Linked DNA regions of Drosophila melanogaster. The protein of the gene in region 1 interacts with the protein of each later gene in a pairwise test. Each region holds a gene or a part of one and is shown on either strand. Other genes may lie near its edges.

Region 1 (3,756 bases):
CAATATACAGCTTGGGCACAGTTGCACCATTGTACCATGCGAGAAGTAACGGTCGCGAAGAAGAAGGCAAATAATAAAAAGCTGCAGCCGCAAGTTGCGCAGCCTGCAACAGCTCCGGCAACATAACGGTACTCGTTCGCTCGCTCTCTCTTTCTCCTGGCTCGGCACTTAACCGATGTACCCTACATTTGGCTTCGCAAAACATAAACAAGGAAATGCAGCCGTGAACACGAAACGAATTGCGGTAGGTTCTCCGTTCGGCAAAGAGCGAGCTCCAAAAGAGGCGAAGAGAGCCGGGGCTCGTAAGCCGGCCGCATTGCTGTTGTTGGAGCTGAGAGAGCCAGCACGGCACCCAAACAAACACTTAAGCAACAACAACAACGGCTGCTGACTGAAGGGAAGGTGCCAGAGGGGCTTTAAACCCAAGAGCGCAAGCTAGAAAGAGCATCAGAGAGAGAGAGAGCAAGGCAGGAGCGTAGGACGAGCTCAACTTGACATCATCATCATTTGTGTCAAAAGACCATTGAACTTTGCGAGCGGATGGAACAGAACAGCTCCACCCCCATCCCGCTGCCTACAAGTATGCAACAATACCTCGCTCTCCTTATTTATATGCGGTTTGTTTTGTTGCTGCTTGCACACCATCACAATAACAGCAACCCACATGCATGCACTCACTTTGCATAGGTGTTGGGGCCCAATGCATCTCAAAATGTTGCGCTTTTAACCCTTACCTAACTGATCAGACATGTAAGGCCCTTTCATGAAAATGTCCTGTGTTTGGGAAATCGGGAAAATCCCCACGATGTAGTTATAAATGACATACTATAGATTTGTGTACAATAAGTGGCTGTGTTAAATCTTCTTTAGCGAATAGGTTTTTATGTAATTCATTCTTGTTGCCTTACCTTACTTGTGATGGATAATGGTCGTGTTCCATTGATGTTCAATAATATAACGCCCATTGCAGGATTCCTGAATAGGGTTCAGATATGGGTTCCTGGCACTACGGCCTTGAGCTGAAGATGAATGTTCTTGCCTCTGCGGATGTGCATATAAAATTCGGTTAATTTAATTATTTAAATGAATAATTGATTTTCAGCTTACTGGTGCTTCCCACTGCGACTGATTCTGACGTGAGCCGCCAGAGTTCCAGCTTTGGTTGTCATAAAAGCCCCTAGATTGGTTGGGATAAAGCCAAGATAGCGGTGGTTGTGGTAGATCCCCTTTATTGGGCTTCCTGTTGTTGTTCCACGCTAAGGAAGGCTGCTTGATCTTGTTGCCGTGCTTCTCCTCGATGTTCGGGGACACATTCTCGCATTTAACTTGAACCTTGTACCACGAGGCGTCTGTATGCTTACGTTTGATGGTCATATCCTCCTCGCTGGTGGAGTCATACACGTGGCCCTTGATGGGTCTCTTTCTCTGACAATTGTTGACTTTCTCTGGCTCTGGTCCTCCTGTTAATACCCCTGGAATTTGCGGATGTGCCTTACGTCGTTGGCGCTGATATTGCCTTCTCTTGTTGCGAGTGTACCTGGGGATCTCACCCACAAAATCGCTTTGATTTTGCATTCCTTATGATGAAGTTGTAAACGATGAATTCGAAGAATCGACACCACGCTGTCGAAAGCACAGCAAGTAACACGTTGAGTTGCTAACACTGACAGACTACTTTGGCGACTTACCAGCACTGATCGATTAATCATGCAAAAAGTTTTTCTCGTATTGATCGAAACTTCCTTTCGTCATGAGCATTATCAAGATAAGAAATCGTTTTAATTGCATTCGGCTTCAAGTGTTCCCCTAAGGAACAGGAGTTAAGAATTTCCAGCTTTTGTTTGAAACAGATGGACATGAATTTATAACCTTGCCTGGTCACACTGAATTTTTAAAGCATCTCCTTCCGTTATTACAACCATCCATAGTGTTAAAAAAAAGCAAGACACAAAAGGCAGTTATGTAAATGTTACAATTTTTGATGTTTTATTCGTTCGATTTATCAACTACTGTTACGGTAATTGCATATTAAATTGGTTGTTGTTCTGTTGTTGCTTAAACTTTAATAAGTGTACTTGGTTTTAGCTGCGGCTGAATTTAATTATATTTGTACAAAATATATATTTACTTTTAGCTTTGTCAATGAACAACATGTTTTGCATTCATTTTGGTTTTCTACTCGCTTTCCACGTTCCAAAGTCCAGCTTAAAACTTAATTCTGTTGGTTTTGCTGTTCGATCTGTCGGTTCGGTTTTGTTTTTGTTTTTGTTTGGTTTTCTTTTGTTTCGTTTCACTACAATAACGCTTAACAAAATAGAATTATTAACTATTACTAGGCGCGTTTCGTTTGTTTTTGTTGTTGTTGTGGTTGTTGTTGTTGTTCTTGTCGGTTGCTTATTGCTGCACGTTAATCTTGTCACTTCGAAAAAATTTAACTATGATTTCTACGTTGTTTAGTTTAATTCATCGTGTATATATATAAAAATATATATATATTATATATCTTTATATATACCAATATATAGTTATTTATAGTTAGGCATGTAATTATGCTTACTTTAATTATATGCATGTTTGTGTCCGTGTCTTCCCGCCTACGTAATTGTATTATTTACATCGTTTTAATAATTAACAATACATATGTATGCATGTGTACCAATTTATAATAATTACACTTATGTAGTTGCACTGCACAATAAAGTTGCGCAAATTCTCCATCGGCATTCGGCACTCGTCATTTTAGTGATAACTTAAAATTTGTCTACAATTTAAATGTTTGTTTTCGGTTTCATTTGTCGAATGCGAGCGAATGCCTTGTTTCCCCAGAACCATTACTAATATTAATTTAATATTCTTTCTTACTTTGTTTTGCTTTCCGTTTTGTTTTTCGTTACATTTTTGCTTTGATTTTCGTAGTTTCGATTTCGTACATGCCAAAATAAAAGTCAACAAGAAAATGCTGGCTGCTCAACTCGGTCAATATATGAATGTATTCCAGAATCCTACCATCCTACCATCGTACCATCCTATCCCAATCCCCACTCATTTTCAAATTCTGCTGATTGAAGTTGGCTTAAAGTAGTTTACAGCGCTCACTTTTTGGCATTTAAAAATATATTTCTTGTATACTGGCGGCTATATGTACAGCTTATATAACTATTTCGAGGGCAAGTCTATTTCGATTGATTTTTAACTCGTTTAAGTCTACTAATGCACTATTAGTTGTTGCGTCTGTGTGAGAGTTTTGAGGCACCCATTATGAATTTATGAATTATGTTGGGAATAGACTGTGGATGAGGTGGTTTTATGGATGGGTTGAAAGAAATAAAACCAAAAGAGAAATACAATTGCGTGTATATATTTGAAATATATATTAATATAAATATATATTGTTTTCATTCATGTATTTTGTTCTAAAAACGTGTTGTGATTGCTTTTTAAAAATTAATTTAAAATTAATAAAATAGTTGCGTTAAACATAATTCATATAGAAATATTATAAAGAATTTATAACTATAACTTTTCTTTATATATGCCATAATATGTATAATTATATTTGCTAACATTTTTCTTTACCAAGGCTGCAAAGTAAAATTAACTAAAACTTAAACAATTTAAAAAGCCGTTCATCTTCCTTACTGTACGCATACGAAAACAAAATTCAACTAAAATGTTTATGTTTTTGGGTAACAGGAAAAGGGGGTAGGGTGGGCGGGGGGGGGGGGGGGTGGGCTGGTTGGGTTTTCGTTTTTGAGC
Region 2 (3,756 bases), on another chromosome or scaffold:
GCTGCTCCTTTTCGGCCAGCTAATCTGTTGGCTGGAATATCGGTGTGGCTGGGGCCAAAGTGCCAGGCAGGTACAGGTCTCCTGCCTAAAATTATGCAATGCCCGGGCTTTAAAGTAGATTACACGAAATTTGCACACGAAGGCACAGAAGCCCACGACGGGCATTAATCACGAAAGAAACTCCTGCCCCGTGACCAGTGTGCCCCATTCTCGAAATCCTCGAAATCCTCCTATTGTGTGTGTTTTTTAAATAGTTGGACCACGCCCACTGGCGGATGAGGGGGTGGGGGGGTGGGGCATTGGGGTTAAAAGGGGGTTAGAGGAGCTGGAGGCAACAGCAGCAAATAAATTGCCAACGTGCCGGAATGCAACGAAAACCCTTTGGGTTTGTTAGATTTTTCCATATTGCTTCCTTTGGCTCCAGCAGTTCCATTAGACTCCTGAAACTGGTTATGCAATCCGCTCTCCCACGAGCAAAGAAAATAATAGAACAACAGCACACACACACACACACACACACACAAAGCCGGAAAATTAGCATAATTTTTCAATTGTCCTTTGGGCACGTGGCGCAGGCCTTAAATATTTTACTTTGCGCACTATTTTCAAGAATATTTCATCGAACTCGTACAATGAGCTTTTGCCAAAAAATAATTATTTTTTCCCATTAACAGCATACCATATCGCATTTCTTGCCGTCGTCCTTAATATTTCCTGTGCTTCAGATATTTTTTTTTTTATTTATATATATATTTTTTTTATGTCCGCCCCACAAGCCCGATTTTTCCGTGTGCCCACGGCGTTTTTCGCTTTTCCCACTCGCCAAATATTTTTCTTGAGCTCAAAGTGAAATGGCATAAATCATGTTCAATATTATTTCGCTTTTTACCCGCTCCGTTTTCGTTATCCGGTTCGTATTGCGGTGGCCCTCGGGTTAAATGATTTCATTTTGCGGCGAGATGACAACCCTGGCCGGAGCTGAAAAGCAGCACTTGTTGCCCTGTTGATTTGATTTTATTGCCCAGCAAGAAAAGTATTGAATGCGAACAAAATGGGTAAGGTGGAAAGGTGGCCGACGTCGCGGCGAGATCAGGTTAGGCAAACATCCTTTTGGCAAAAGTGGGCGGTAAATGTCCTGGCCTGGCAAGAAAATTGCTTTTGCGGTCGGTTCTCGAGGCTTCGCTCGTAATTACCAAAAATGCCGCAGGGCAACTCCCGGCTTCCTTCTTCCTGTTCCTGGCACTTGGCACTTGGCACTTGGCATTACCAAATTACCAAATTACCAAATAGCTGGCATCTAAGTAATACAACTAATTTGTGTTAAAATTCCATTAGCTGGCCGAGAAATATGCTCAGCAGGAGTGATTGGCTTTCGGGCGGGCATGGAATGGCCAAAATCAATCACCGAATCCCATCACGCACAGTGATGATTAGTCGAAAAATTTAGCTAGCCCTGCGGCAACCCTGCTAATCCTGCGACGTTAAATCGATTTGGAGAATGAGGAGAATGAAATGTCCACATCAGCGATTTTGCATATTTGTTGCAAGGATCGCGTACTAAACAATCTCTATACCCGATTTAGTATTTATTTTATTTATTTTTTGTTTATAAATAATTAAATCCGAACATTGTTAGCCAAACCCAGGCATGCCATGCTTTTAATGTCAGTTTTTGGATGACAGTCGGTTTTTGGTGATCGGACATTGTTTCAGTCAGTTTGCACAACCAGACTGAGAAGAACACTACTTTTAAAATTGTGTAGAATTCTTACAAGTTTTGTATATATATATATTTTACTGCACTCGTTTGTGAAACGGTAAGTGAAATGGCGTGCATAATCGAATTCCGCAATGCCTCGCGGCGTGTGCTTTTCAAAACCGGATATTAATTGTGCGCACTCTTAAGAAAATAATTGGAAATGAAATTTTGTGCGTTCTACGCGTTAATAATTTACTTCTTTTATTTTGTGTTTTTATTTTTTTTTCGATTGCCGCTAAAGAAAATATGGGGCACATCGATGGCACAAATAAACTGAAAGGCTTCGCTCGTCCCGCATTCACCAGCGAACTGGCCTTCAATAGCGTGGTGCCATGGAGCAATGAGATCCATCGACGCCACGGTGAGGCCATCCATCCGTGCAACGATGCGATGGACTTCCATGCGTCGGTGTTTAGAAGTCTGGGTGCCGTGACGCGTGTGTGCATTGGCACATCAACATTTTGGTGTACTTCGTCACTTTTGCAATTTCATAGCAACTATTTTGATCGCAACATTTGTCCGGTAAATAAGAGAACACATTTCATCGATATCGTTTATCGATGATATTGTTAATTGCGCGATTTGTATATGTCGATAACTTAGCACTGTACTCTGTACCTTAGGTGAATTGCTTTCGCGAGGGCACCGACCTTATTGCCGTGGGCTTTCGAGCTGCCTACACTTGGATGAGACTGCAGGAGCCACTGGATCCATTCATGCAACCAGATAAACTAATGACGCTCCTGCACACAGCCGTCCAGCTGGAGATGCCGGCACTGAAAGCATTGTGCTATGAACAACTGTGCACCGATCGCTTTCGCGAGGAGACCGCCTTTCAGGTTTACTTGAGGGCTTTGAAATATCCGCAACTCGAGGAGCTGCGCAAACTGATGCTGCAAAGGATCGGTGCTGCTTTTCTGGCCGTGCTGGGTGGTGATGATTTTCAGCGAATGCCTCTCGAGGATGTGATTACCATGCTGCAGCAGGACTCATTGGGTGTCAATTCGGAAATGGAGGTGCTTGTGGCCATTATAAGATGGCTGAATTGTCAATCGAAATGCATTGACCAGGCGACGCCACTATTGATGGACTGCCTTCGGCTGACACTCTTACCACTGCCAATTTTGAAAAGATTTTGGCGCTGTGCCATGGCACCACCGGTGCCCGACGAGCCCTTTATGAACGCTGTTCGTGGCAATATTCACATTCGTGAGAGGATCAGCTGTGCAATTACTGTGGTCCAAATGCACCATTTGCATACAAGTCGTCGTGAGTTTCTCGACTTCTGTCGCTCCAAGGGCTTGCTGGTCGATATGCCCAGGGAGTGGATATACGATGAGCAGTGCCATTATCATTTGCCGCGACCTGGTGGTCCCTACTCTCATCTTATCTGTGTTCATGTCATTTCGAATTATGCGATACAAAGGGCTCAGCGTCTAATGGAATCCTCAAAGCGTTGGCCCAGACGTGTTAATACATACATGCCGCCGTCCGATGATCTACAGACCATCAATGAGCTGCCCGAGGACAAGGATGAGGAGGCGCAGGTGTCAGTAGAGCCATCAGCGCCAGAAATGTCCGAAGGTCTACCGCAGCCCGAAGAGGATGATTGTTTCATTGCTCGCCTCTTTCGTGGCACACTATTGCGACTGAACGAAGTGATGGCCGCGCAGGACAGAAATATTGAGCGACGCATTGACAATCTTATACGTGATGGTACATTAAGGCCCAGGTTTATACCCAACGCTATGTCGAGATTTGTATTGCCAACAGCAATGACTTGTGCTGCACAGGAAGATCTTCAAGAAGATCTCTTTCTCCAAACCGATTTCTATTCGAGCAACCTGGACGCCATCGATGCGTATTTTTTTCTTCATGTCTGTCGAATGAGGCAGTTGGTCCAGCCGAAAGTTGTAGTTCCTATCGAGAAATCGTCCGAGGAGAGTGTGCGTCCCATGGAGAGCTATGTGCTCGAAACCGACCAAATGATCAAAGTC

Evidence for each region. Proteins that work in one complex are often made in the same cells at the same time.
Region 2: the proteins of Rbp9 (region 1) and CG12692 interact in a two-hybrid assay, tested with the Drosophila melanogaster proteins (one large-scale study listed by BioGRID).

What each region holds. Positions count from the first base shown.
Region 1 is NT_033779.5:2,952,665-2,956,420, reverse strand, and holds the start of Rbp9 (RNA-binding protein 9), read right to left. Parts: upstream 1,660-3,756; 5' UTR 1,108-1,659; intron 1,042-1,107; 5' UTR 914-1,041; intron 1-913.
Region 2 is NC_004354.4:4,300,326-4,304,081, reverse strand, and holds the start of CG12692 (uncharacterized protein), read left to right. Parts: upstream 1-1,735; 5' UTR 1,736-1,817; intron 1,818-2,000; 5' UTR 2,001-2,005; coding exon 2,006-2,281; intron 2,282-2,382; coding exon 2,383-3,756.